4 linked regions of the Stegostoma tigrinum genome follow. The protein of the gene in region 2 binds, or shares a complex with, the protein of the main gene of each other region. Links are inferred from orthologs where the notes say so. Each region holds a gene or a part of one and is shown on either strand. Other genes may lie near its edges. The genes, in order: mzt1, tubgcp5, tubgcp2 and tubgcp4.

Evidence for each region.
Region 1: the proteins of tubgcp5 (region 2) and mzt1 are in contact, whole or in part, in a crystal structure (PDB 6L81), measured with the Homo sapiens proteins. The link is inferred for Stegostoma tigrinum from reciprocal best matches to the Homo sapiens genes TUBGCP5 and MZT1. Residues at the interface, in NP_443135.3 of Homo sapiens: Gln14, Gln15, Asp18, Val19, Glu21, Leu22, Val23, Val26, Ala27, Gly28, Asn36, Ala40, Phe43, Ala44, Asn47, Phe48, Arg52, Phe53, Leu54, Phe72, Lys80, Ser83, Trp84, Leu87, Thr88, Glu90, Phe91, Ala106, Ser109, Ile110; in NP_001065243.1 of Homo sapiens: Glu23, Val27, Leu28, Glu30, Ile31, Ser32, Ile34, Leu35, Asn36, Thr37, Leu39, Leu44, Ile46, Cys47, Val48, Arg49, Leu50, Cys51, Glu52, Gln53, Ile55, Asn56, Pro57, Glu58, Ala59, Leu60, Ser61, Ser62, Val63, Ile64.
Region 3: tubgcp5 (region 2) and tubgcp2 share a complex: the UniProt entries of both Homo sapiens proteins name them as parts of the gamma-tubulin ring complex. The link is inferred for Stegostoma tigrinum from reciprocal best matches to the Homo sapiens genes TUBGCP5 and TUBGCP2.
Region 4: the proteins of tubgcp5 (region 2) and tubgcp4 are in contact, whole or in part, in a cryo-EM structure (PDB 9I8M), measured with the Xenopus laevis proteins. The link is inferred for Stegostoma tigrinum from reciprocal best matches to the Homo sapiens genes TUBGCP5 and TUBGCP4. Residues at the interface, in XP_018102626.1 of Xenopus laevis: His233, Leu234, His235, Leu238, Ile241, Trp242, His245, His300, Met301, Thr302, Asn304, Cys305, Ser308, Val309, Gln312, Ala392, Ile393, Leu395, Asp396, Lys397, Arg410, Leu441, Asp442, Tyr443, Asp444, Asn445, Val446, Gly447, Glu448, Ala449; in XP_018110859.1 of Xenopus laevis: Met1, Ile2, His3, Glu4, Leu7, Tyr12, Pro13, Gly14, Ser15, Ile16, Gln29, Pro32, Phe33, Glu60, Thr63, Gly64, Ile84, Arg87, Ala88, Arg91, Arg101, Leu105, Gln109, Leu112, Pro115, His116, Leu117, Val178, Gly181, Val182.

Annotation. Positions count from the first base shown.
Region 1 is NC_081359.1:25,382,805-25,390,252, forward strand, and holds the start of mzt1 (mitotic-spindle organizing protein 1), read right to left. Parts: upstream 3,011-7,448; 5' UTR 2,935-3,010; coding exon 2,889-2,934; exon of another isoform or gene 2,775-2,888; intron 2,544-2,774; exon of another isoform or gene 2,489-2,543; intron 1-2,488. Other genes in the region: bora (protein aurora borealis), read left to right, coding at 5,724-5,888, 6,434-6,540. UniProt on the Homo sapiens protein: Required for the recruitment and the assembly of the gamma-tubulin ring complex (gTuRC) at the centrosome.
Region 2 is NC_081359.1:97,918,546-97,926,352, reverse strand, and holds the start of tubgcp5 (gamma-tubulin complex component 5), read left to right. Parts: upstream 1-4,803; 5' UTR 4,804-4,903; coding exon 4,904-5,022; intron 5,023-6,432; coding exon 6,433-6,486; intron 6,487-6,571; coding exon 6,572-6,680; intron 6,681-7,807. UniProt on the Homo sapiens protein: Component of the gamma-tubulin ring complex (gTuRC) which mediates microtubule nucleation.
Region 3 is NC_081390.1:12,448,290-12,455,594, forward strand, and holds the start of tubgcp2 (gamma-tubulin complex component 2), read left to right. Parts: upstream 1-4,301; 5' UTR 4,302-4,554; intron 4,555-7,305. Other genes in the region: znf511 (zinc finger protein 511), read right to left, coding at 2,332-2,533, 2,673-2,743, 4,014-4,180, 4,243-4,252. UniProt on the Homo sapiens protein: Component of the gamma-tubulin ring complex (gTuRC) which mediates microtubule nucleation.
Region 4 is NC_081389.1:21,469,129-21,476,541, reverse strand, and holds the start of tubgcp4 (gamma-tubulin complex component 4), read right to left. Parts: upstream 3,018-7,413; 5' UTR 2,866-3,017; coding exon 2,788-2,865; intron 1-2,787. UniProt on the Homo sapiens protein: Component of the gamma-tubulin ring complex (gTuRC) which mediates microtubule nucleation.

The sequences.
Region 1 (7,448 bases), about 73 Mb from region 2:
GATGCTGGCTAGGGAACACAATGGTGTGATGAAATTGCGGGCCATCAGAAGCTGTCATGTTTTGTACACAAAACATAGGTGTTCGGCAAAGCGGTCGTCCAATTTGCATTTCATTTTTTTAGTGTAGAGGAGACCATATTGTGAGCACTGCATGCAATATACCAGATTGAGTAAAGTGCAGGAAAATTGCTGCTTCACTTGGAAGGTGTGGGTGGAGCCTTTGACAGTAGGGAGGAAAGAAGGAAATGGGCAGGTTTTACACCTCCTGCAATTGCATGGTAAGTTGCCACGTGAACAGAAGGTGGTGTTGGGAGTGGAGGAGAAGTGGTCCAAGGTGGCTAGGAGGGAACAGTCCTGGCAGAAAGCTGGCAAGGAAAGAGAGGAGAATGTTGGTGGCATGCTGCTAGAGGTGGAGGAAATGGTGTCTTATGATCCTTGGATGTGGGTGCTGTTGAGGTGGACGATGAGGACCACTGGGACCCTATTGGTTTTGGAGTAGTAAGGGAAGGGACGAGGGTTTAATTGCACAAGATGAGCTGGACACAGCTAAAGATCCTGTTGACCACAGCAGCGGGGAATTCTTGGTTGAAAACAACGTTGGAATAGACTCTTTACAGGAAGCACGTATGAGCAAGTATAGACCAAGAACTGTGAGAATTGATGAGTTTGTAATGCTTATCCCCAGAAATGGAAACAGATTTTGAAGATGGGGAGAGAAGAGCTGGAGGAGAAATTGATATCTTTCCAATTCTGGATGAGGGAAGCAGCATCAATAATGTCAATACACCAGAGAAGGAGTTGTGATAGGAGCCCCAAGAAGAGCTGGAACAAGAAATATTCTATCTACCCATAAGGAGATAGGCATTACTGGCATGCTGATACCTACGGCCACAGTTTCAATTTGAAGAAAATAAGAGGAGTTTAAGGGGCAGTTATTCAAAGTAAGGATGAGCTCGGAAGAGTAGGAAGTATACAGGGCAGTTCAGGCCTTCTTCCAGGAAGTAGTGGAGGGCCCCGAGATCATCCCATTGGTGGTTGGAGGTGTAATGGACTGCACGCCCATTGTGAGGAGCAGGAGTCACACAAGCTGGAAATTGGCAAAGCATAAGAAGAATCACAAATGTAAGTGGGAAGGACCTGGAGAGGAGAGGAAAAAACAGAAAATCAAATCGGGTTGGGACAAAAGAATTTGTGGGCCAGGATCACGCAGAAACAATGGTCTGCCCAGGCAGTCCTGTTTGCGGATTTTCTCTGTAGCATCTGTTCTGACGATGCCAGCTTCTGCAAGGGGCCACTGAAATGTCCACCTCTTTCTCAACTGAGGATTCCCTGCTACCATGGTTGACAGGGCCCTCAGCCACATCCAACCCATCCCCCGCACTTACGTCCTCACTCCTCCTCTTCCCACCCTAACACGGATAGGGTCTCTCTGGTCCTCACCTGCCACCACACCAGCATCACATTTAAAGGTTCATAAGCCACCATTTCCACCACCTCAAGTGTGATGCTGTCACCAGACACATTCCCCTTCTCTTACTTGTGAGTCTTCTACAGGCACCATTTCCTATGGTATAACTTGGTGCATGCTTCCTCCGTTCCCAATACATACCACATCCCTGTGGCACTTTCCCAGAAATGTGCAGAAGGTGTAAGAGATGCCAGTTTACTTCTTCACTTGTCACAATCGAAGGCACCAGACATCTTCCAGATTAAGCAGTGATTTACATCCGCTTCACTTACTCATCTACTGTATTTGCAGATCACAACCTGGTTTCCTCTACGCTGGGGAGTCAAAACGCAGATTGGGTGGCCATGTTGCAGAACACCTACGTTCTGCAAAAATGACAGCTCCAATTACCTGCAACTTCAACACACCACTGTGCTCCTTGGCTAACATTTATGTCTCAGGTTTGCTGCAGTGCTCCTGCAAAACTCTTTGAAGGGTCAATATGCACCCAATGGGCTGAATGGCTTGTAGAACCCCTGCAGTCTGGAAACAAGAGGCACAGTAAATTGTATGGGCCTATATTTTTGAACTTGCCTAGTCAAATTAGCTTGCTGTGTACTGTTCATGCTTAAATGGATTTGACAAGAAGCATAAAAATCTAAGAAATAGGAGTAGATCATTCTAAGGCCCACATTGCATTAATGAATAAAAGAGAAATTCTGCCTTTTGAGCCCAGTCTGCCATTTAATGAGGTCATGGCTTCTCCGTCATCACCAATTCCTACACAATCCCTGGATATTACTTTTAAAAGTGGAAAGCTATCCATCTCACTCTTGAAAATACTCAAGAACTAGGATTCTATACAGTTTTTTTTGTGGGTGGGGGGATGCTTGAGCGAGAATTGAACAGATTTGCTATCCTCCGCGAGAACAAGTCCCTCCTCATCTCACTCCCTGAAAGGTTGTCCCCTCATTCAGAGGCTGTGACTTCCGGGTTCTGGACATGGGTGTGCGGAGGGGCGTGCTATATCCACCCTGTCGAATCATATTCGCATGTCTGAACGGAGATCACCTCTTCTGGTCACCGAGGAACACAGGTATGAGCTGTCTACTGAAATCTTTTGCTCGTAGGGTACATCCTTCTCCATCCAGAAGGAAAGTAAAACAAAGTAGTGGAGATCCCAACCCGAAACATCAACTTTCCTGCTCCCTCTGATGCTGCCTGGCCTGTTGTGTTCCTCCAGCTCCACACTGGAGAAACTCAGAAGGTCTGGCTGCTCCTGTGGAGGGAAGGCAGCATTAACGTTTCGACATTCTTCCCCTCCCAGGAATTTGGAGTGATGAAGCCGCGATCAACTCCCTTTTAATGACATGGAGGATCGGTAGGAAGACAAGAACCGCCAACTTCAACACGAAATCACTCGGTTCTCTCTCACACTCACCGTCCATGGTCTCCCTCACCGCGTTCAGGTTAGCAGCGTTCGCCATTGCTCCACCTTTCACCCGGAACCACAGCCGCCCGGTCCCCGCCCATTACATCACCACATCTTTAAAAAAAACTAAACTAGTCACCGTAGCAAGCAGGAAACTGTGGTAATAAATCTTGTGAAATAACCGGTCGGCGTCCAACCGATGAAACGGGATCGACTTATTATCACTGTGAAGGTTTTCCTCTGGGTCAGCGGCCGTTTAGAATCTTGGCTGCCGTTTGAATCTGATTGGTTGATGCTGGCGCGCACCCGCCGATTGGTTGCCGTCTCACCGCCCAAGGAGACATTCCGATTGGCTAACGATAACTGAGACCGGTAATTGGCTATATCCCTTGCCAATGTTTGTGTTTCTTTGGCTGCCACCATCCAAACCAGGTGATTGGCTGGCTGCGTTCGCTGCGGTAGCCGCTGATTGGCCAGCGGCTGCGGGAGGGACATTCAAGGCAACGAACTCGGTGAGAGGAATATTGAAGGTAAGATCTACTTAAATATCACTTTAAAATAGAGAGAGAGACACTAGTGTCAAATAGTGTGTAAAACGGAGAGAAACTGGGATGGAATATCATCAATGTCTGGTAAAGCAGAGAGACTGGGGTGAAGTTTCATCAATATCATATAAAATGGAGAGAGATTGGTGTGAAATTTCATGTAAAACTAAGGGTGCCTCGGGTGGAATACCATCAATAAGTAAGAGAGACTGGGGTAAAATATAATCAGTTTCATATAAAACGGAACGAGACAAGGAAAATATCAATATCTTGTAAAACACGGGAATCGATAAAATGTTGTCGATATTATCTAAAACACGGATAGATTGGGTGATATATTATCAACATCATGTAAAATAGAGAGGAACTGAGGTGATATAATATCAATAACATTTAAAACAGACATACTGGGTGAAATATTGTAAACTGGAAAGTCTTGACTGAAAATATCACATAAAACAGAGGGTAGAGTGAAATATCAATATCATGTAAAATAGTGGCAGGTAAAATATCGTAAAATCTTTTAAAATAGAAAAATGGCTAAAGGATTGTTGATATCATGTTTTTGTTGATTCTTAGGAGACTTGAAAGGGTAAATGCAGACAGGTTGTTTATCATTCTGAGTGACTCTAGGAGCAGAGGGTTTAATTTCAGAATAGGGAGTCACCCATTTAAGTCAAGGATGTGGATGAATCACTTCTGAGAGTAGTGAATCGGTGGATTTTTTTTAAAATCTGGAGGGCTACACAGGCTGGGCTGTCAAGCACATTTTCTGTTTGTATACAAAGCATCTTAAGCATACATTTTAATATATAGTATATATGTGTTTAGTAGACTAAGTATATAAGGCTATGATAATCTGCAAGGGAATCTAGGGTTATGGGGAAAAGGCAGGAAAGTGGATTGATGATTATGAGCTTGATCTCATTGATTGAATCTCCTCCACGAATGAGCTGAGTGGCCTACTTTGCCTATATCTTATGCTCAAAAGCACGCTATGTGTCCTGCATCTCTCACACACGTGTTTCAAGAAAATGTTCATATTTAACTTCTCCAGGACAATTAGGGATGGACAATAAATGCTGGCCCAGTCAGCAATGCCCACATCCCGTGGATAAACATTTTAGAAAAATTAGTCGAGTTCTTGAATATATTACATAGCATGAAAAACTGCATTATTTATTGTATAAAATGTTTGCTCAGCTAGAAATTAATTCGTGTTCTTTATATGTGAAGAACCCAAATCTGCATAAAATAGTTCTTGGACAATGGATACAGCAGCTAAACGAATTATATGAAGAATGTCATTAGTTAATGTGACTCCACAGAAGCAAGATATGTAAGCAGATGTGCTGTGATACACTTGCTGATGTAGTGCAGTTATCATAATATGCTTAGGCTAATTAGTATATTAAAGATATCTGATTAGTAAGGAACTTTCTCAAACAAAATTAAGATTATTCTTTCAGCTTGTCTGGGTAAGGCAGGCTGAGGGTTGCAGAGGGGATAACCTAAATGATCATGGCAGCACAGTACACAAAGACACTCGATGGGAGTAAGAAAGAATGTAGTTGTGGTAGGACACAGGATTGTGAGGGAGATTAACAAAGTTTTCTGCAGCAAAAAAGCATGAGTCCAAACAGTTGTGTTGCCTGACAGCTGCCACAACGCGGGACACCTGCTTGGGGCTGGAGACGAACTTGCAATGGGAAGGGAAGGACCCAATTGCCATGGTCCACGTCAGTACCAGCGACATAGACAGAACAAAGAAGGAGGCTCTGCATTGTCAGTATGAGGAGCTGGGTGCAAATTTTAAGAAGCAGAACCTCAATATTCATAATCGCTGTGTTATACTTGAGTCACTTAAAAACTGCCATAAGGTAAATCAGACTTGACAATTGAATGTATAGCTGAAAGACGACTGTCGTGGCAGAAATGGGTTCCAGTTCATTGGTACTGACACCAGTTCTGGGAAAGTGGGATCTGGATAGATGGGCCGAAGCATTTCGAACATTTTCCAATTTTACTACTTCGTGTTGCAGAAGAGTCTTTTCAGACTTGAAATGTTAATCTTATTTCTCTCTCCATAGGTATTACCAGATCTACTGAGATTCTACAGCATTTCCGGTTGTTGTTTCCAGTTTCCAATATCTGCAGTATTTTGTTTTCATTAAAAGAGTAGGTGTGAGACATATGTGAAAATTTGACATTAAAAAACATATTGTTTACTTATTTCACAAAGATTCTTGTTTCCCCAATAATAGAAGTGGAAAGGTTCTACTTACTATAAGGAAGAGGAATGGGAGATTTGAAGAGTGAGACCAGGGTACATGTAACACCAGACACACCCGGGCGACCTCCTGTTTCAAATCCTTTTGAGAGCCCCAGTGATTATGCAACATTGCATGAACCAGTAGTCCCTAGTCCCTCTGTCTTCAAATTAGTGAAAACACCTGATTCACAGGTATGTTTGACACTCCTTAAAGAGAATTCTTTTCTCTCATATTGAATACAAAATATTGTAATTTAATTGATTTTGTGTGCTATAAAAATAGCAGTGTGGAATGTCAAGTTTTTTTTTAGGACAAAGGCGTTTTACCATATGAAAACTATATTTGAAAGAGTGATACCTGGTTGTATTAGCCATTAGAAAATTAAAGTTATATTAAAGAGATAGATCGAAGTTAGAGGAAATGCTTTAAAGCAAGGAAGATTCTGATTATCAAATTTTCGTTACATTTGTTTGGGATCACTTAGTCTGTGGTTAGTTTGAAAAGTGCCAGAAACAGTACATATTCTTCATTTTAGCCCATATCATAACATTGAGGCTAGCACTGAGGGAAGAGCTGTACTGGTGTTGACTTTCACTGCATTCCAACAGTGACTACAATTCAAAGTATGTTTCATTGGCACTTTGAAGTGTGCTGAGGTTTCAGAAACCAGCTATAAATGTAAATTATTTCTTACTTATGTTGGATGGCTTGAAAATATACTACTTTCCTTGCTTAGACACCTGGAAAATTCAGATGGTCCATTGGAGAGCTTGCCATCCTGCATCCTATTGAAATTGATCCAGAAGATGTTCACCAGCAATCTGCATACATGAGCTGCACCAGGTTACCAGTTTTCTTTACTATGACTTGCATACAATGCAGCCATTAGATCAGCATATATGTAATTAGATGCCCTTTCTCATTTACATGTATTAGAGTTTTGTTTGCCATTTTGATGGATAAGATGATGAGGCACTCTAGAGTCATTTTCTTGCTTGTGTTTCAATTCCAAGTGATTTGACAATATCAACATATCCTCAATGAATTCAGTATGTGATTAATGCTCCTTCAAAAGCAACTTCCAAATGCACACCCTCTCTCACCTAGAAAGACAAGGGGAGCAGATAATCGGAACACCAGCACCTACAAGTTCCCCTGCAGCCACCACCATCGTGACTTGAAACAATATCACCGTTCCTTCACTGTCTATGGGTCAAAAACCTGGATCTCCCTTCACAACAGTGCAGTGGGTCTCCCTACACGTTTAAGAAGGCAGCTCACCATCTGGACAACTAGGAATGGACAATAAATGTTGGCCTAGCCAGTAAAGCCCATAAATTACCCATAAGAACTATGAGCAGGAGTAGGCAACTCGGTCTGTCAAGCCTGTTCCACCACTTGATCATGGTTGATCTTATTTCAGCCTCAACTCCACTTTCCTGCCCACTCTCCATAATCCTTCAACTCATTACTAATGAAAAGTCCATCTCCTCCTTAAATTTACATGAATGTCCCAGCATCCACTGCACTCTAACAAATTTCACAGATTGATGACCCTTTAAAAGATGTAATTTCTCCTCATCTGTTTTAAATTTGCTATCCCTTAGCCTAAAACTGATCTCTTGTTATAGATTGCCACATGAGGAAACATGCTTTCTACGTTTACTTTGTCAATCCCCTTTTGCATCTTGTATCCTCTCGTACTTCTAAACTGCAGAGAATACAGGCCTGAACTGCTCAATCTCTCTTCG
Region 2 (7,807 bases):
CATCCCCTCCCCGCAATATCAACAAAGACAGAATTCCCCTTGTCCTCACATATCACCCCATCAACCTCCGGATTCAACATGTCATTTTCCGCCACGTGCAATCTGACCCCACTACCAAGGATATATTTCCCTCCCCACCCTTAACTGCCTTCTGGAAGGACCACTCTCTTCACCACTCCATTGTCTGCTCCACACTCCTCACTAGCCCCACCACCCCTGGCACCTTTCCCTGCAAACGCAGGAGGTGCTACACATGCCCCTACACCTCCCACCTCACCTCCAACCCAGGCCCCAAGAAAACCTTACACATTAAACAGACGTTCACCTGCATATCTGTTAATGTGGTATCTCGTATCCGCTCTTCCCGATGTGGCCTCCTTTACATCAGGAAAACCAAGCAGAGGCTTGGAGACCGCTTTGTGGACCACTTACGCTCGGTTTGTGACAATGAACAACACTTCCCAGTTGCGAACCACTTCAACCCCTGCTCCCGCTCCCTGGACGACATGTCCATCCCAGGGCCTTGACCGATACCACAATGATGCCACCCAAAGGCTGGAGCAACAGCACCCCTGGGAACCCTGCAACATAATGGTCTCGATGTGGACTTTACAAGCTCAAAATCTCCCCTCCCCCAACCTCATTCCAAGACCAGCCCCCCTCATCCCTGTCTCCTTGACCTCTCCATCTTTTCTCCCACCTATCTGCTCCTCCCATCTCACTGACCAACCCCCACCCCCACTTCCTACCTACCAGCCCCAATCCCGCCTCCTTGACCTGTCTGTCTTCTCTCTACCTATATGCTCCTTTATCCACCGTCTATCATCGTCTCCCCCTCTGTCTATTAATTTCAGAGCCACCTTCCCCTCCCCCATTTCCGAAGATGGGTCCAGACCCGAGACGTCAGCTTTCCTGCTCCTCTGATGCTGCTTGCCCTGCTGTGTTCGTCCAGCTCCACACCTTGTTATTTTTGTGCCTTTAGGGAGAGGTGGGGGCCATAGGGGTGGAATGATTTATTTTGTTTCCTGTTCTTGCAGCTTCAGTATTCAGGAGATTGGACTAATAAAATTTCCTTGAGCGCCCCAAACATTGTCCTCACATTTGTGTGCATCCGCACTAAACTGTGCAAAGATCATTAGTACACAAACATCAAGTGTTAACACATGCTAAGGTTCTATTATCCCAGATATTACAAAAGATGCGTAGATAACAGATCATGTCAGATGGTTCCCTGAGCAGGCTGCTCAAATCATTTTGTGAAATGCCTCATCATCAGACATGATAAATAAGCATAAAATGTAGTTTGGCTGACAGTGAAAACCCACCTTCCTCTTAAATCCTGCCTACATGTCTGGAGATTTACCCTAAGAAGCTCTCTAATACAGGACTGTTCCCAGGGACCTACACAATATTTAACTCTATCAACTCTTTGGTCTGTCCAAAACTTGCTAATCTTCCAGTGTGGGGTGTTGTCCTCAACTAGATGTTGCAAACACAAGAGTGAGGATCACACTACAGTTTGGGGCAATTGCTGCAGAGGTGCAATGGGAGCGATTGCTGCCTTGGACTTATCAGTTATATTCTAATCTCCAGGTCTTTTTTTCTCTTTACATTTTATACCCTACACTACTGCCTTAAAGCAGTAGTGTTTACATTTCCCCACAGCAGCTGTGTTGCATGCATGTGTGCAAGTGCAGGAGTCAGTAAAAATACAACATGGAAGATAATTTTATTCAATATTTTCCACGACCAGGAAGAACACACATGTAGCCAGTGCACCAATAACAAGCAAAGCGTGGAACAAGCAATCCTTATGACAAAAAAAGCGAGGCGGAGGGTAAGGACCAAAATCAAAAGAGTTAGTTAGAGGACAAAATAAAGCATTCCACCCCATGGCACGCACCTCTCCCTAGAGGCATCAAGAATGTTGGTAGACATGGCATGCTTCCTCTCTTCCTCACCCAGGCTCAAATGTAACCACAGCAGAGGGGCAGGCAGCTGGCTGTAATGACCTCCTCTGCCTGCAATTTGTCAGTTATATTACATTGAGAGTCTAGAAACTGTGCACTCCAATCCGTATCCCTTATAAAGAATGTCTGTTGTAAATCAAACACTATTGGAAATGAACATAGAACATTACAGCACATTTCAGGCCCTTCGACCCTCGATGTTGTGCCGACCTGTCATACTGATCTCAAGCCCATCTAACCTACACTATTCCATGTACATCCATGTGCTTATCCAAATGTATTAAAGCAACTCGGTATAGATCATAAAGTGTGAAGCTGGATGAACACAGCAGGCAAAGCAGCATCTCAGGAGCACAAAAACTGACATTTTGAACTGAGACCCATCAGAGAGGGGGATGGGGAGAAGGTTCTGAAATAAAGAGAGAGAGGGGGAGGCGGACCGAAGATGGATAGAGGAGAAGATAGGTGGAGAGGAGAGTATAGGTGGGGAGGGGATAGGTCAGTTCGGGGAGGATGGACAGGTCAATGAGGCAGGATGAGGTTGGTAGGTGGGAAATGGAGGTGTGGCTTGAGGTGGCAGGAGGGGATAGGTGAGAGGAGGAACAGGTTAGGGAGGCAGGGACAAGCTGGGCTGGTTTTGCGACGCAGTGGGGGGAGGGGACGAACTGGGCTGGTTTTGGGATGCAGTGGGGCAGGGGGAGATTTTGAAGCTTGTGAAGTCCACATTGATACCATTGGGCTGCAGCTCCTCCCTAACTAGCCTAACTCCTCTCACCTATCCCCTCCTGCCACCTCAAGCTTGATACACTTTGAGCAGTTGTCGATTATATATGAACACGAAAGCAGAAACACTAGAAAAGAGGTCTTAAAGCAAATACAAATGCTGATAATGGATAATAGCTACGTTGGTCTCCATTAATGCAAGTAGGTTTCAATTCCAAGTTTGTTTTTAAATCAACTTGCTCAAGGGAATGTCTGAGGCAGGCGTGACTTGAACACTGCCATTCAACCCCAGAGGTAGGGACACTATCACTGGACCACAAGAGCTCTTTCAAGGTAACAAAGTGTGGACCTGGATGAACACAGCAGGCCAAGCAGCATCTTAGGAGCACAAAAGCTGACGTTTCGGGCCTAGAGCCTTCATCAGAAAAGGGGGATGGGGAGAGGGTTCTGAAATAAATAGGAAGAGAGGGGCAGGCGGATCGAAGATGAATAGAGGAGAAGACAGGTGGAGAGGAGAATATAGGTAGGGAGGTAGGAAGCGTTAGGTCAGTCCGGGGAGGATGGACAGGTCAAGGGGCAGGATGAGGTTAGTAGGTAGGAAATGGAGGTGCGGCTTGAGGTGGGAGGAGGGGATAGGTGAGAGGAAGAACAGGTTAGGGAGGCAGGGCGGACCAAAGCACCTCCCCACTCTCCCTATTTATTTCAGAACCCTCTCCCCATCCCCCTTTTCTGATGAAGGGTCAAGGCCTGAAACATCAGCTTTTCTGCTCCTAAGATGTTGCTTAGCCTGCTGTGTTCATCCAGCTCCACACTTTGTTATCTTGGATTCTCCAGCATCTGCAGTTCCCATTAGCACTTTCAAGGTTTTGTCTTCTTGTTCAGAGATACTATTACACACCTCTGCAGTAAGCGGGACTGGAACCAAAGTGTCCTGGCTTAGAAGTAGGGGCCTATGCCTATGGCACAACAGCCCTAGATGTCTTTATTTTTAAAATTTTTTTCAAAATAACTTTTCTTTCCCCTAATCAATCTGTTTAGACATTATTATACACCTCTGGAGCAGCTGGTACTTGAACCTGGGCCTATTGCTCCAGGCATAGGGATTCTACCTCTGCACCCCAAGAGGGTTCCCTGCCATGGCTTTTTAAAGATGATTTAACCTAAGCTTCCTAAACAGCCTGTTCAAAAATGCTATTACACATCTCTGCAGCTGGTTCAACTTGAACAGAGGCCTCCTGGCCAAGAAGTAGGGACACGAGCACTGTGTCACAAGAGCCTTGATGTCTTTTTTTAAACCATCATTACATCACCATGTTACAAATTAAAACAATCGACATGCAACACCAATCTCATTTTTAAAATGAATTACTTCAGCTTTCAGATGAGAGCCCTCTTGTGGCAAAATGGTAGTGTCCTAACCACTGGTCCAGGACACCCAGTTTCAAGGCCCACCTGCTCCAAAGGTGTGTAATAATGTGTCTGAACAGGTTGAGTAGGAAAAATAGGCTACTTTTTTTTTAAACAAAGCAAGTCAGAGGACCCTCTTGTCGCAGTGTCCATAACTCTGCACCACAGAGGATCAACTTCAAGTTCCATCTGCATAAGTTTAAAAAAAACAAAACATCCACTAGGACTCTTGTGGCATAGTTATAATGTCCCCACCTTCGAAGCAGGAGACCTTTCTTCATGGTCCACCCGTTCCACAGAGATGCAATAACATCCCTGAACAGACTGATTTTAAAAAAATACGTTAAATAAGAAAAATAACAACAGATCATTAACCTGTGCTCTGGTCCATTGTCACTACGCCAGCCCGTTCTTTAAATAAACAAGTCACCATAATTCGGAATATCATTCAGACCACCACCGACGTGCAATAAAATTTAAAAAATGAACATTTAAGCACGCAAGTATGTTATCGCCTGCAGGCCTCTTAAACAGAGGAGACTGCAGCATCTACAACACGGAACCGATCTCAACACCCACAACCTACCACCCCAGAGGTACCCCGCAGGATCTAGACGGCGAATCCACTTGAAATGACGTTAAAATTCGAAATTAAACTACCACTTCACCAGGTCCGCGAGCGTCCCAACGAGCTGACCCGACAGTGGTTCCGGGGGAAGAGTCACTTCCGGCGGTGGCTGTAAGCAGAATGTGCGGGTGATTTGTTTGGAAAGGAGCCGTTCACGCCTTTTTAATTTATCGACATGGCGCATTGGAATAAGTTCGAGAAGGATTTGAAGAAGTTGATACAGTACATTAGCGGGGTCCCGGAGGAGGACCCTGATTTCCAGTTGGCGCTGCAGTTCACGTGGTCTAACGTCAGGTAACCGAAGCCTCATAACATTGAGGTAACAAAGTGGGAAGCTGGATGAACACAGCAGGCCAAGCGGCGTCGCTCCTAAGATGCTGCTGTGTTCATCCAGCTCCACACTTTGTTATCTCTGATTCTCCAGCATCTGCGGTTCCCATTATCCCTCATAACATTGAGGGTTCGTTTTAGTTTGGAAAATGTGCATTCAGTAGATGTTATAACAATAACTTGTGTGCCTTTAAATAAATAATGTGATCCTCATCCCACGCAGTTTATTGGACTGGAAACGTTAGCTCTTTTTCCCCGATGCTGCCAGATCTGCTGAGTTTCTGCAGACCTTTCTGTTTGTGTTTCAGATGCTTGGGATGGACAACTTTTGACGCCATTTGAGCCACATATGGCCGGGGTGTGGGGACGTGGGGCCAGACAGTCAATAGCTTGAACAAAGTAAATAGCGTTTAGGAGATAGTAGGAACTGCCGATGCTGGACAATCTGAGATAACAAGGTTTAGAGCTGGATGAACACAGCACGCCGAGCAGGAAAGCTGATGTTTCGGGCCTGGACCCTTCTTCAGAAATGGGGGAGGGGAAGGGGTTTCTGAAATAAATAGAGAGGGAGGGGCAGGCGGATGGAAGGTGGATAAAGGAGCAATTAGGTGAAGAGGAGACGGACAGGTTAAGGAGGCGGGGATGGAGCCAGTAAAGGTTATTGTAGGTGGGGAGGGGGAGTTAGGATGGGGGTTGGTCAGTCAAGGGAAGACTGACAGGTCAAGGAGGCGGGGATGAGGCTGGTACATAGCGGGTGGGGTTTGAGGTGGGAGGACCGGATAGGTAAGGGAAAAGACGGACAGGTCAGGCAGGCAGGGATGAAAGGGGGATAAGGGGGTCGGGTCGGGTCGGGTCGGATGGGGGAAATGCCCCTGGTAGTGGGGTCAGATTGCAGTTGGTGGAAGTGGCGGAGGATCCAACGCATCATTTTCCGCCACTTCCGTCTATCCCTACCACCTATTCACTGCTCCCATCTCAACCTCCACCTCCTATCTCCCAGCCTCCTTGACCTGTCCATCTTCCCTTCCCTACATTGGAGGCTGCAAGCAGACATAACTGTGATCAAATTATTCTGTGTTCTGCTTTTTGCATATTTTTGATGGTCAATTTAGATTCTGAAAAATTAGGAACAGCATGACTCTTCAACTTGGCTAAAGTATAGTAGTTAGAACCATGTAAATGTGACAAAAATGATCTTTTATTTTAAAAGAATAATTAATTCTGCTAGTAGAAAGAAACATTTGTGAATATTCCACCACCAATAGATCGTTGCTAGCTTTGTAAGAAGTAATATTGTATAACTGGTTTGTCTGTTTTATTCTATTTCTATTTCCTGTTGCATGATATTTGGCTTCGACTTTTTAATTCTTTCAGATTCCATCGATTTCTTGACGTTGACAGTCAGAAAATAACACGTGTGATTGATGGGTGAGGTTCTTCATACACTTATATGTGGTCCTTATTGTACAGAAGTAATGAAATGTTGTCAACTGACTTAACTTTTGTTTTTCAGAATCCACGAAAAACTGATTATTCATTCAGAACTCCCGAAAGCTGTAAGCTGGCGGAGGTTAACGGATGAATTTCTGGATTTGCCCCTTGAGACTGTCGAAGGAACAAAGGTTTTCATCTCAGTCTTGTTAAATCGAACTGAACTTCACTGTTTCTACAATTTTGTGTAATCTTAAGAATTGATCAATGTATTCATATTTGTTTTTAAAAAAAATTGTTTGTACTTTCAGAGATAACGAGAACTGCAGATGCTGGAGAATCCAAGATAACAAAGTGTGTAGCTGGATGAACACAGCAGGCCAAGCAGCATCAGAGAGGATGCTCTCTGTTGAAGGGTCTAGGCCCGAAACGTCAGCTTTTGTGCTCCTGAGATGCTGCTTGGCGTTGCTTGTACTTTCACATTGTTTTCACTCTCAAACTTCTTCTGAATTCATTTACGCCATGCTCAAATGATATTTCATGAAAGCTGTATACCCTCTAAAATCTCAGCAAATAATGATTTAAAAACAAATCAGCTCGGGCTTTTCAAAATTTAGAATGTTACAAACATGTGAGCTATTATTGTGTGAGGAATCACATGGAATCCAGGGAGAGCTAGCTATTTGGAAACAGGATTTGCATGAAGGTAGGAGTCAAAGGGTGGTGATCTTTCAAACTGGAAGCTTGTGATCAGTGGTGTGCTGCAGGATCAGTGCTGAGTCCACTGCTTTTGTTATTTATCTAAATGATTTGGCAGTGAACATAGGAGGTATAGTTGGTAAGTTTGCAGATGACACCAAAATTGGTGTAGTGGATGGTGAGGCAGGTTAACTTAGAGTGAAGTGGGACATTAATCAGATGGGCCAATGGGCTGAGGATTGGCAGATGAAGTTTAATTTAGACCTTGTGGTGCAGGTTCGTAGTGAAGAAGGCGTTTGGTAAGCTTGCCTTTATTGGTCAGTGCATTGAGTATAGAGGTTGGGATGTCATGTTGCAGCTGTACAGGACATTGTTCAGGTCTCTTTTAGAATACTGCATTCAATTCTGGTCTCCCTGCTGTAGGAAAATTTGTTTTAAACTTGAAAGGATTCAGCAAAGATTTACAAAAATGTTGCTGGGGTTGGAGGGTTTGAGCCAAAAGGAGAGACCGAATAGGTTGGGCTATTTTTCCTGCAGCGTTGGAAATGAGGGATGACCTTAAAGAGGCTTATAAAATCATGAGAGGCATGGATAGGGGGAATAGTCAAGGTCCTTTTTC
Region 3 (7,305 bases), on a different chromosome or scaffold from region 2:
AGTGATTTTTCCAGAAATCCATTATGATGATGTAAGATGGCACGAATTTTGGAGACAAATTTCATACTGCCCTGTGGATTGTGGCATATAAATCCTAGTTTGGGCATTGGTGGGGGGGGGGGGGGGGGTCATGACTTCCCACACAACCGTAGGAAATCTGCTCAGTATGCCCATATAAATTCTCAAAAGCTTCTCCAGGAAAGGAAATCAATCTAACAGACGTCAGTGACCTGATTGGACATTTCATTTGCATTCTTAAAGGTAGAAGATTATAGCCAACTTTGCCTCCTGGCATATCCTGGGCCTCCCTCCCACTATTGGTGCAGAATGGCAGCACTAATATATTAAACACTGTATAATCCATAGACATTCATGGTCATGAGACACTCTTTCCATTCCCACCCTGGCGCAACTGGGGACAGGGTCCTTGACTTAATCGATTAACTTCTGTGCAGAATCTGTCCTTTCGCTGTATGAATCCCTTATTTTAACTGACAAAGTAGTTTTATTTCCTTACTTATTACATGCCTAATTACCATGAAAATACTGATTACATAAAGAAAGCTTTGGCAGAAATGATCAGAAGGTCAAGTGCTTATTATAGACTTGAGCACATAATCTAGGTTGACACTTTAGTGCATAACTGAAGGACTATCAGAAATGATGTATATTAATCGAGATACCATTTTTATTTTTAAAAAATTTGATCATGGGATGTGGACATCGTAGGCTAAACCAGCAGTTACTGCCCATCCTTAATAGCCCAGAGGACAGTTAAGCATCAAACACATTCCTGTGGGTCTGGAGTCAAACCTGGACCAGGCCTGGGAAGGATGGCAGATTTTGTCCCCTAAAAAGGGCATTAGTGAAGCATATCAATTTTTACAACAATCGACAATAGTCTCATAAGTTGCCATGAGGCTGGCTTTTCACTCCAGAATTTTATTGAATTCAAATCTGATCAGGCACCATGGCTGGATTCGAATCCATGTCCCCATAACATTAGCCTAGGGTTCTGGATGAGTAGTCTACAGATATTACCACTATGTCATTGCTTTCCCCTTAAGGGCAACAAAATCACATTTGAAAATCACCAACAAGCCAATGCTAAGATATTACAAAATAAAGGAGAACCCATCATACTGTAGGTGACAACCATCATGGGAAACATTACAGTATGAAAAAGAACAACAATCTCATTATTAGAAAAAAAATCCAAGTGTCACATGTGGAAAGGTTTTCGGTACCACAGATTAGACAGACCTTAAATCATGCTAATAAAGAAAAGTGCTCCCTCTAGTCAGTAAGGACTAGGGGTTGCTGACATTGCTAACTGACTAAAGTTGCTTTCACAATGTTTTTTCAAGTTAAAAACAATGTTTGTTTGCATTGCACAAAGTATGGATCAAAGGCTGATATCCCATGTTTGAAAAAATCAAGAGATGGACTTACTTACATTCGATGTTCAGCAATTTTTTTGTACATTGGTCATAATTTGTGTTGCAGCCAGGGTAGCCAAGGTCCTTATAAATTATATTGATTTAGGTAAACCTACCACCACTACTGTCTCTACTCTGCATAGTAGAGATATGAAAAAGCATTGAGTACTAGCATGCCTTATTCCTGACCCTCCTTAAGAATTGGAGATCTGCTAAGTTGATGTGTAGTACAGTTTGTTACTCTAGCTACATGCAGACGATCTAGAGATTTCACAAATATAAATGTCTCCAAAATCCTCTTCAGCAGGTCAAGGTAGTAGTCAGGGCCAAGGGTTCTTTGATAGAATATGAGCCAATAAGGATGTGAATAATGCCACAGGAACATTATTGTTCACTTTATTCCCTCATTTAATCTCACATGAAGGATACTATTAATAACCTAGTTTCCTAATGGAATTGCTACAATCTTTGACTCTGGTGGCAATTACAAATGCAATCTCTGATGTTAGGGAAGAATAGTAAGACTCCTAAATAGCTCTCACCTCTGAATGCTTGATTCTGATACAATTCTTTTCCCATAATCTTGCCTTGGCTAATTTGAAAAGATGTAACAGTAATAAAAAGTGTTTGCTCTCATTTTCTCCCACTCAACAGTCACAATGTACCCTGAGTTGGCAGTATCCAAATGGTTCCTCTTAAGACAGTTCATCATCACTGTATTGCATCAGCAGAAGTTACTGAGATTCCTGCTTAGATCATCCTGCCTTTGTACAGAGACAAGTGCACACGGTTCTGCATGGAGTTCAGACAACTCTATACATTACAGCAAATATTGACAGATTTAACACACACCAGTGAAGAACTCAGGATTTAGAGTTTCATAATCACTTACCATGTTCTGTTTCGCTGCCAAAATTTGGAAAAATGAGTCGTGCCATTCCAGGATGTGAATATCTAGCAGATGACTGGAAGGAAAAGAGCGCTTGCAGGAGGAACAGACATTGCGGTGAAATGTATTATAATGATGTTCGTAGTTTTCTAAGGCATCAAACAGTTGACTACAACCTGCTATTTGGCAACAGAATTCAGAAACCCTAGATATTTTTTTAAAAAATGGAAACATAAATATACATAAGTTAGTTCTTCAGAAAAGTAGTAGCGGACAATTAAAATGGCTTTGGTGGAATCCAGTTAGTAAAGGGGCAATCCTCAAATGCAAACAGCTTTACTTACTTGGGTCTTTCTGCTTCTTCCACATTTGTTATAGAATTTTGCAGATATAAATGTCTACAGACATCACCATCCTAAAACAATAGGTTAAATTATTTTCAATAAATCATTGGTTTGCGAAGTAGTTAAAAGTTAATCAGTTACATACAAACTTCAATTTTTTATTGGTATAAAAGAACCTTCTTGTAGTGGAAGGTAAGCAACAATACATCTAATAGCTAATATTATCAACACTGGGCAAACACAGTAATGCACTGAAAAGCCAAGTCCGTGGGACTGTTGGATGAGATAGTAAACCCAAACTAGAGGTAATATAATCAGAAGACACAAAGCTATCAACGGTTCTACACTATCAGCATCCATTGAAACTTATCACAATGTCTGACTAGCCAAGGACATACTTCCCACGTTTTGACTGCCAGCAAATCATCCAACAAGGCATCCCATAGTAATGCTTCTTTTACTATACGCTCATATTGTCAGAATATAATTTAAATTTATTTCCTTTATTACCAAAACCACCATCTCTAACGATCAAAGTGAATGCAGTCATCAGCTAAAGGTGTCCATGAAATTTAGTTTCTTTACAGCAAGGTCAATTTCAACTCCATTTATTATGTAGGTAATTTAGTTCCAAGGGTAAGGAAATATACTTGTTGCAGTGTGACAATCCTTTTAGTCGCTACCTAAACGTCAGCTAGGCATCAATGCAAATTAGCTGCATTACGGAGCAGGAAAACTGACGTTTCGGGTTGGGACTTTCCTTCAGAAAACCCTTAACAGTTTGGCCGATTTGATTAATGCTGACTGGAAGGTGCTGGGGGCTCAATATAAACTGCACATTGTGGTTAAAACAAATACATCGATAAATCTCATGTCCATCACTTTTTAAATACTTGGCTGTTCGCCTGCACGAAGTAAGTAGTTAAGTAAGTAGTGAACCTCTAGTGAACCTCTCCACAATTCTAAAGATGCAACTGTTTGGGCCGTTCACCATACCTGATGTTCAAGAGAAAGCTCTCAGAAAGGAAATCTGCAAACGCTTTGATTATTATCACATTGTTGTTTGCGGGATTTTCCGTTAATTAGCTACTACAATGGCTGCAAAACACTTTGGGATGCTCTGAAATCGTAAAAGGCGCTACAGAAATACAAGTTTTTACTTATAAAGGAAACACGGCCATCAGCTTACACACAGCAAGTTCTCTCTCTGTCTCACACACACATATATACAGCAACGAGGGAATGACCTGACCTGTTTAAATGCAACTGAATGGACACCAACATTGCACTCCCCGCCCCAAGGACTCAAGGTTTCAGTTTAATTAACGTGCCGCCACTAACCTCGAAAAATTCGTCCTCTTTCTGCAGGAAGATCCTCCTGGACCTGAAAGTAAAAGGTGACGGCCCCAGCTCTGACTCGCCAGCCGCCCCATCCCCTCCGGCTTCAACGAACGCCACCGCCGGCCAGAGTAGCGAGCCTGGCCTAGACCAAGGCGTCCAGATCCCCTCTCATCAGCAACAACCGACCGACAACCCACTATGCGTACACTCATCCAGTCGGCGGACTCACCACTGCGCATGCTCAGCAACCGCCGCCGCGTTGCCCCCTCAGTGCGCGTGCGTAGTAACCGTCATCTGGCCTCCGCGCGCGTCCCTTCTTGACGTCTCCGTCTGGGTCCAAGCGCCCGTCGACATCAGGCCCCTTCCAAGCGTCTTCCTTGCCTCCTTACTCTCTTCCCTGCCTCTTTCTTTATGTGCAAAACTCAGGTGGAACAGAGCGGCGGAGCCTCGGGTTTTCCAGGGGGAAGTGGCGGCGCGGTTGCAATTGTTCGGAGGAGAGGGGATGTTGTTGTCTGTTTGATGTGAGTGGAGCAGCTGAAAGGTGAGGTTCGGCCCCGGGCAGAGAGCGGGAGGAGCGGCCTGGGCCTCTGTCTCCGTGTGCGTTGGGAAGGGGTTATATTTAAAAATGAGCGCGATCTCCCCCAGCAGGTCTGGCTGTTTGTTTTGGTAAACAGGCCGGGCTGCTGCAAGGGCCCTGATCCGGGGAGACCAGCTTTCCGCTGCCGGTCTAAAATCAAACCGCCCTGACTGAAAAAGCTAAGGGGCATTTCCAGGCTCTTAACTCCCGATGTGCGCCTTAGGTCGACCTCCTCCTCTCGCAGCCTCTTGTATTGCCCCTAACCCGTGCAGGCTCAGTCTTGGGGTAGAATTGGAATAAACAGTTTACCTCAATCCCTCCACAAACCGAGGGTATTAATATCTGAAGCGGGGGGAAACCACAGGGCCTCATGTTTTTATATTCCGAATACAGGTCATTGCATTACTGTATCGCATCAGGTGCGCACCCACCTCATGCGGGTTTCCCCATTTTAAAAAATTGTAACTTTGTTTTTAAATCGCTTTCCGACCCCTCAGACCTTTAGTAATAAAGACGAAGTTCTTGTACGCAAAAGCAAAATACACTGGTACCTGGACATGTAAAATAAAAATAAAATCTTTGAGCGTTCAGACCTACTGAGTTTCTCAAACATTTGCTGTCATTTCGATTTTCAGCATTCGTAAAATTTTGCTTTTATTTATTACAAGCTTTCATGATCTCTGCACTCTGACAATTCGACCATCTTGCACTTGTGTTTTGGTTGCTTTACTATTCTTGCCTTAACCTCTATGATTTTTAAAGAATTCCTACAAATGTGGAAACAGGCCTTTCAGCCCAACAAGTCCACACTTCCCCTCCAAAGAGCATCCCACCCTGACGCATTCCCCTACCCCTCCATTTCCCCATATCTAACCCACCTGGACACTATGGTTAATTTAGCATGGCCAATCCACCTACCCTGCGCATCTTTGGACTATGGGAGGAAACCCATGCAGACACAGGGAGAATGTGCAAACTCCAAACAGACAGTGACCTAAGGGTGAAATTGAACCCTGGCCCCTGGCGCTGTGAAGTAGCAGTGCTAACCACTGAACCGCCCTCCCTAAATGCTGCACCTATCTGATTCTCCTAAAGCATGGCTTAAGACCTACTATTTGGACCAGGATTTTCTTTTCCCAATCAATGACTCAGAAGCACATCATGAGGTTCCTCAAGCCTGCTCTGTTATTTGACAAGATTATGTCTGAATTAATATTAGCCTCAACTCCACTTTTATGCCAATCCCTGATTCACCTTAACTCATTTGTCAGTCAAGAATCTCTCTAACTTAGCCTTAAAAATATTCAATGATCCCAACTTCTCCACTCTGTGGCGAAGAGAATTGCACACATGACCTTTTGAGAGAAAACATTTCTCCTCATAGTTGTCTTAAGTTGGAGACCCCTTATTCTTAAAGTGTGTCCTGATCTGTCCTGAATTGCCCATTGTGTCTTGGTGTCAAAGGAATTTTTTGGACATGTTTTTGTAAAAGGCTTAGGAATGTTTTACTTTAATAAATGCTGTATGTAAGGTTGGGACCTTGCCTTATTGTAAGCAGTGCATCTGTAGCAGTTTTCTGCAACTCAAGTTGTATCAGTCCTTTCCAGCAAATTGCTTTCTATCCTTGAATTTATGCAAATGTTGAAAACATTTATTAGAAAATACACTTTACCTGATTGTTGGATTCATAATGGATTGATGTTATTATTGATACCATAAAATGAAGAAGAAATTTCAGTGAGGCTTTATATCATGAAGAGTTCAGTTAACACAACATGCATGATCATTGAGTTTGGGACATTATTGCAATCCCAGTAACAGTGAAATCAAGAAGGAGAGATGAAACTTGATACAAGAATTGAGAAGGAGAGTTAAAGAGCTTAGAGTGATGGAGAGAGGGAATTTAAGAGTGTAAGGGGAGGAATGGAAAAGGTAGAGAATATCAAGGCTGGAAGTTACTAGACTAGATATTGAAACAGAGAATGACCTCAAATTGTGTAAACTTAATTTTCAAGCCTGTTTCATTTATAATTACTATACTGCAGTTTATGGATTTTCAAATATTAATTTCCAGATTAGAAGATTTTAGATCTTTTTCTTTTGTTCCTTGCTTAATGTATATCACTGCCGCTTAATTAACTTAAGTGATTGTAGCATTATTAGAGAAAATGTTTGTAGACAGAGGTAAGTTACTAAATTCAAACATCAGTGATTATTTATGTTCAAGTTCTTGCTCCTGTAACTACTAAAATATGGACTGTAGAAGCTGGTGCTCAAATATTGATCCGTAGTTGAGGATTTTGTGGTTCCAGAATAAGTAGTATCTTGCTGAGATTCGGGAAAGCTCACGGCCTACAATTTACTAATGACTTTAAGCTGTTATTTGCATGTGGTGAGTTCCCAGCCATAATTGCTAAGTTTGTAGCCAACCTACTGTATATTGTTGTCTGATTTAAGCATTCTTAGTTTCAACTCGGTGCCAATTCCTTAAGCAAAGTGCTGCCTGTCATAGCTGCAAGTAGTTTTGTTTTGTAATCTTGTGCAAAGTTAGTCTTGGCATATATAGACAACTTGTTGCCCTTTCTATTTTGTGCTTATGTACAATTTTATTTTGTGTAAATGACAGGAGAGAATTTTAGACCTGTTCAGGCAAAATTGATTTCAGTGTAATTGAATAACATGTGCTAGATGTAAATCTATGAAATGGGTGGCCTA
Region 4 (7,413 bases), on a different chromosome or scaffold from region 2:
TTAAATTAACAACATCTTGTGTCAATGTAACCTTTTTAACATAATAAATGTCCCAACTCATTTCACAGGAATGTCATCGTACAAAAACTAATATTAAACCAAAGCATATATGTTAGGCCGGTTTACCAAAAGCTTGGCCAAAGACATTAGCTTTAAAGACGTCATAAAAAAAGAAGGGGGAGTGAGAAGCTGCCGGCGGGTATTAAGTAAAATATTTATGCTTGAGCTGAATGTTGCACATTACCACTTAGACTAGTCAAAATTGTAGTGTCAAGTCACACCTTGAGAACTGTATTTAATTCATGCTTCTGAATAATATACAAGGTATATTATTCAAGCAGAAAGGAACCAGGTGAACCCAGAACACACAAATTCATTCTCAGGAAATGGCAACACTGGGAAAAGTGACATTTATTGCCTATTATCAGCTGTTTGAGAGAAAACGTCAGTGGGTCTTTCTGATAGGGTGATTATACAATCCAGAATATATTTATACAGATCCAGAAGTAAGCAGCCTAACTGACTTGATAGAGGTGTACAAAATGAAAAGAGGTATAGATAGGGTGAACATCCAGAGACCTTTTTCCTAGGGTGGAGGTAGTTATTACAAGGGCCATAGTTTTAAAGTGAGTGGAGGTAGATATAGGGGAGACGTCAGAGGGAGGTTCTTTACACAGAGAGTGCTAGGTGCGTAGAATGCATTGCCAGAGAGGGTAGTGGAGTCGGCTCAAGGGGCATTCAAGCAGCTACTAGATAGGCATATGGATGATAGCATAAGGTAGGAGTGGAAGTTAGATAGACTTTAGGTTTAGGGTAAAAGTTCAGCACAACATCGTGGGCCGAAGGGCCTGTACTGTTCTATGTTCTAACACATCCATACCACACAAGGCCACTCCTCTCAGACTCCATTTACTATGAATTAGTCCAATACCAGCATCCACAATATGACTCCACCTTCACTCACTCCTATTATTAAGGCATTTTATCTCCAGGGCCATTTCCTCTTCAAACCAAATTTCAGTGGGAACATTACAGTGCTGGAGTTGTGGGGAACAGAACACATGCACCAGCCACGACCACAAACCTTTGCAGAAGGATAGAACAGTAAAAGTTGATTTTTCTGTCTGGGTTGGAATTTTCTACTCTAGAGGTATGTCAATGCTTCATTGGTGAATGTATTCCAGACTGTGAGAGGATTCTTCAAATGCAGGAATACGGGGAGTCGGTAGAAAAGTGGAGTTGACACCAAAGAAAAGACACAATTATACCAAATGTCAGACACCGAGTAACCACATTGTCTGCTCAAGCTCCTGTTTCTTACATTATGATCTCTGCATTCTACTATTGAAACAGGAGACTGATATTCCTTCCATTTAACAGCAATCCACCCCACTGCATAGCTGTGGGTGTCACTGACTGGGCCAGTGTTAACTTAATCAGGATCCGGCAGCCACTATCATGAACTGTCCCAGCTGTTAAGGGCAAGGATATTCATTCGGGGAATGGCTTTGTGAATTGTCCAGAGGGAAAAGTGAGTGAAAACCAGTCACGCTAGGAAGCGAAAGTGCTGGACTTCCATTTTGAAGCAAACAAGACACACTGGACCAGTATAACAAAATGTGAGGCTGGATGAACACAGCAGGCCAAGCAGCATCTCAGGAGCACAAAAGCTGACGTTTCAGGCCTAGACCCTTCATCAGAGAGCTGATGAAGGGTCTAGGCCCGAAACGTCAGCCAGAGCTGATGAAGGGTCTAGGCCCGAAACGTCAGCTTTTGTGCTCCTGAGATGCTGCTTGGCCTGCTGTGTTCATCCAGCCTCAAATTTTGTTGTCTTGGATTCTCCAGCATCTGCAGTTCCCATTATCTCTGACACCGGACCAGTATGTTTCATTCACCATGTTCAGTGTTTTTCTTACCCTTCTTGATAGGTAGGCATTGCATGCCTGGGCCATACGGGTGCAGCACATCATCCAGTGATGAATGTGGGAGCTGGTCATCCCAGAAAACATATGCTTATACACATACCTTTTGAGTCCTGCCAGCCTGTATGGCCTGACTGAGGTGTAGAAAATTATGAGAGGCATAGTTAGGAAGAAACTCTTCCCCTTTAGTGGAGGGTTCAGTTACTAAGTGGCACAGATTTAAGGCAAGGGGTAGGAGATTTAGAGAGGATTTAAGGAAGTATTTTTCACCCAGAAGGTGGTGAATATTTGGAACCCACTGCCTTAAAGTGTGATAGAGGCAAGAACTGTCAAAGTGTATAAGAGCTATTTAGATGAGCACGCAAAACGCAAGTGCTGGAAAATGGGATCAGAATAGATGGAAAATAAACAAAAACAGAAGAAGTTGATCTGTCCTTGTTTTTGATCTGCAATATTTGTAGTTTTTTGCTTTATGTTAGAATAAACGGATGTTTGCTGACAGGCGGAAAGGTCTCTCGCTGTGCTGTTAAAAACTCCGATGACTAAGCGGTTCAGACAGAAATCCTGGAAACATAGCAGAACCAGAAACATGATGATCAGAGCAGTGGCTGGTTACTAGGTTAAAAACAATGTCTAACGGTATGGAGGAAAGCAGTAGATTGGCATAAGCTCCATTAATAGTGCAGGCTCAGTAGGCAGAATGACAACCTTCTGCGCCCTGATACTGCTATGTGCCATAGTTTATTCCTCTCTCTCACTCTCTGAATAAACGGAACTAGGTTCCGTTGTTTCCTTTGCTCGGGTTATCCATCGTGAGAAGGGCCCAGGCCTCTCGGTTACCATGGTGCTTGAAGCTCTGCCTCACCTGTAGGCCGCTGCGCTTGTTCCAACTGAAGATGCTGCCCGGATACCCGCTCAATGCCAGCAGCAACTCGTGGATCATCTCGCCGTTGTGGGCTCCGGTGACAAGTATCGCTCTCACGCTCCGATTCCTTTTGCTTTTTTGGTTTTAGAAACAACCGGCTTACTCGGACCACAGTACGGCACCTCCGGACGCAGCCATATTTGAGACTGGCAATAGACGGCTCGAAGTGATCGCGCAATTGCCCACCATGTTTATTCCTGGCAAGTTGCTCTGCTCGCCATTTCTGTTACTGGCACGAACCTAGTCAAATAGGCTGACGATGCCGCCATCTTTCATGCTGGCTTGTATGTTTGCATGTGACAGCCAATTTTGTCACGTGTGTGTGTCTACAAATATCAAAGTTTTAGCCACATTTCTTAATATTTGGTTCATGGGATCCAGTAGCACGGGCAACATCTATTGCCCATTTCTACTTGCCCTTTATGATGATACTTGTCCTTCTTGAACTGCATGGTTAAAAGTGGAAAGGATACAAATTGCTTCCATTTGCTTTGTATTCTTGAAAACTGAATTCTATGATGCCCAGATAGCAAAATGTGAGGCTGGATGAACACAGCAGGCCAAGCAGCATCTCAGGAGCACAAAAGCTGATGTTTCGGGCTGACCCTTCATCAGAGGTCTAGGCCTGAAACGTCAGCTTTTGTGCTCCTGAGATGCTTCTTGGCCTGCTGTGTTCATCCAGCCTCACATTTTGTTATCTTGGAATTCTCCAGCATCTGCAGTTCCCATTATCTCTGATACTATTTTAACCTCACTGCGAAGCCTCTTCTATGATGCCCAGTACGTTCATTTCCTGGTTTTGCTAATTTCCCTTCACTATTTTCCCCCTGTAATATTGGATAGATGGACCCACAGTCCCGTTAGGGAGGGATGCTGACACAGCAACACTGAAGGAAAAGCGATATATTTCCATTTCAGAGATAGTAGGAACTGCAAATGCTGGAGAATCTGAGATAACAAGGTGCAGAGCACATTTCTGAAGAAGGGTCTAGGCCCGAAACGTTCAGCTTTCCTGCTCCTCTGATGCTGCTTGGCCTGCTGTGTTCATCCAGCTCTGCACCTTGCTATCACATATTTCCATATCAGGATGGTTTGGAGGAGAACTTGCACTTTTTTGCAGATGGTGGTGTACCCATGTGTCTGATGACCTTGTCCTTCCAAATGCTAGAGGTTGCAGGTTTGGAATGTGTTGTTGAAGGAACTTTGGTGAGTTGCTGCAGTGCATGGGCTGATTTAAAGAAAAAAACCTTCCACGCAATCTGTGTAATTGGGCGTCAAAGTTTGTATATTTACTTAACAAACATCCAACACCCCTCAGTGTTCTAGAGAATCCAACAGCCATGATGATCAACACACACTATTATTCTTGTCATTATTGTAACAACAAATAAATAGGATGCTCTGATGAAGGGTCTAGGCCCGAAACATCAGCTTTTGTGCTCCTAAGATGCTGCTTTGCCTGTTGTGTTCATCCGACTCCACACTTTGTTATCTCGGATTCTCCAGCATCTGCAATTTCCATTATCTCTGATCACATTATACCTGGTTATAGTTCAACAGATTCATTTGAAATACCTTTCACCTGACAAAGGAGCAGCGCTCCAAAAGCTTGGGATTTCAAATAAACCTGTTGGACTATAACCTAGTGTCTTTTGACTTCTGACCTTGTCCAGTCCAACACCTGCACCTCCACATCATTACAATTATTGATATCAGATGACACACTGTGGACATCTGTTACTCTTTATTCATCAGAAATTCAAGTAGCCACATCTGAATTCTCAATTTCTACATGTGGAGGACAACAAATATATTGATGCACCAATCTATATTGACTTGGCTCATTTTCCACCGGGAAATATTGAAAATAGGTCGAGTGGAATTGTAAATGCATATTTTATTTTGTCATTTATATATTGAGGCAGGATTTGCAGCTTAATGGAGACATTTTCGCCTATCTCAACTTGCTGTAGTTCTCAGTAATGAAAAAGTGCCATGAACAGGATAGCTATGCTGTACTGAGCCACACAAATGAGGAACTGGGACAACTGTTGACCCAAAAACTGCATTCTCCATTAATATTGCACGTAAATTTCAACAGAAACAGACTATTTTGCCCATCTATCCATGCAAGAGTTCAATCTGCTCATGAGCTGTTCCCACTTCGACCCATAATCCTCCATTCCCCGAATCCCTAATGGATGCAAAATGTTGCTTTTAACACTAACGAAGCAGTTCAGTGTAGATTTGCTAGGCTAATACCCCCCAGAATGAGAGAATTCTCTGCTGAGGAAACGTCAGACAGGCCCATTCTGTTTTCAATGGAGTTTAGAAGATGCAACTTAATTGAAATATCAGAGATCATGAGGGGTCTTCACAGGGTGGATGTGGAGACGATATTTCCTCTTCTGAGAGAATCTAGAACTAGTGATCATTGTTGAAAAATCAGGCATTGTCCCTTTAAAACAGAAATAAGGTCAACAGTTTTCCCTAGAAGGGTCGTGAGTTTTGGAATTCTCTGTGAAAAAGTGCTGGAAACAGAGACCGAATATTCTTAAATCAGAGGTAGACAGATTCTTTTTAAGCAGAGGGGCTGTAAGGTTATCAGGGCTAGGCTGGAATGAGGATTTGAAGTTGCAATCAGATCAGCCATGAGCGGACTCAAGGAGCAGAATAGACTGCTCATCCTCCTTGTTCAGTTGTTTGTTCATAATCTCAAAATAATTCATGTGTAAAATGGAAAAGGTGCCACAAAACTAAAGATTGGGAATAAATAACAAAATGCTTGTTGAAGAAATGCAGGGTTTTGAGATGCTCCTAAAGGCAGAAGGAAGTGGTGAAAGAATTTTGAAGAGTCATACATAAGCAGTTGAAGATTCTTCGGCCAGTGTGAGAAAGAACTATTGGAGTCAAGGGGAACAAATTAGAGCCACATAGCGATGAACAGTATGGAACCAGACTCTTTGGTCCAACTCGACTATGCCAACCAGATATCCTAAATTAATCTAGTCCCATTTGCTGGCATTTGGCTTATGTCCCTCTAAACCCTTTCTATTCATATACCAATCCAGATGCCTTTTAAATGTCGTAATTGTACTCGCCTCCACCATTTCCCCTGGCAGCTCATTCCATACATGTACCGCCCTCCGTGTGAAAAATTACTCCTCATGTTCCTTTTAAATCTTAAACCTATGCCCTCCAGTTTTGGACTCCTCTACCCTGAGAAAAAGACCTTAACTATTCACCCTATCCATTTCATTCATGATTTTACAAACTTCTATAAGGTCACTCCTCAATCTCCAACACTCCAGGGAAAATAGCCCCAGCCTATTGAGTCACCATCTATAGCTGAAACCCTCCAAACCCAGCAACATCCTTGTAAATGTGATAATGGGAACTGCAGATCCTGGAGAATGCAAGATAATGTCTAGGCCCAAAACGTCAGCTTTTGTGCTCCCGAGATGCTGCTGGGCCTGCTGTGTTCATCCAGCCTCACATTTTATTATCTAACATCCTTGTAAATCTTTTCTGCACCCTTTCAAGTTTAACAAATCTTTCCAATAGCAGGGAGACCACAGTTGAAGGGGAAGGGCAGAGGACTGGAGGAAGGTGCAAAGGTACAACAGACTGAAGACAAGGAGCCATTTAAAGATTATTTTAAATTTTACATTCCTTAGGATGGGATGCCAATATAGGTCAGCAGATATTGGATGAGAAATAGATCTGTCTTAGTACTGGATAGGTTACACATTACAAAGGTATCAGTATGGATAAAGAAGCATATAATGGAAGAAGGTGACGGAAGGCCCAAGTCATTGTAAGATGGTTTAATATATTATACAGTTACTGTGATCTGCAGATAATTTATTCCATTGATTCAGAATTAGCATGCAGCTATACTGCAGCAAGACTTAGGCAACATCCAGGTTTGGGCTAATAAGTGACAAGTTACACATATACCATACAAGTATCAGGCAATGACCATCTCCAGAAAGAGAGAATCCAACCATCTCCTCCTGATGTTCAAAGGCATTACCATTGCTGTGTCCCCCACTTTTGAGTTACCATTAACAAGAAATGGAACTGAACCAGCCATATAAATATTGTGGCTGCAACAGAATGTCAGAATCTGGTGATTCTGAGACTTCCTGAATTGTCAAAGCCAGTCCACGATGTAAAGCACAGGCATGTAATACAATGCTGGCTACTTGCTTGGATGAGTGCACCTCCAACTACACCCCACAAACTCAACACCACCCAGGACCAAACAGCCAGCTTGACTGGCATCTCGTTCGCCACCTTAAGCATTCACTCCCTCCCCGGACACACAGTGGTAGCCATCTGTACCATCTACAAAATGCCCTGCAGTAACTCAGCAAGCCTCCCTCCCTCAATAGCACCTTCCACACTCATGACTTCTACCTATTAGAAGGACAAGGGCAGATATATAGTTCTTTTCCGGGTCACTCACTATCCTGACTTGGAAGCAGAGAAAGCTAGAGAAACTCAGCATGTTTGGCACGATCACTGGAGAGAAAAACACAGAGTTAATGTTCGGAATTCAGA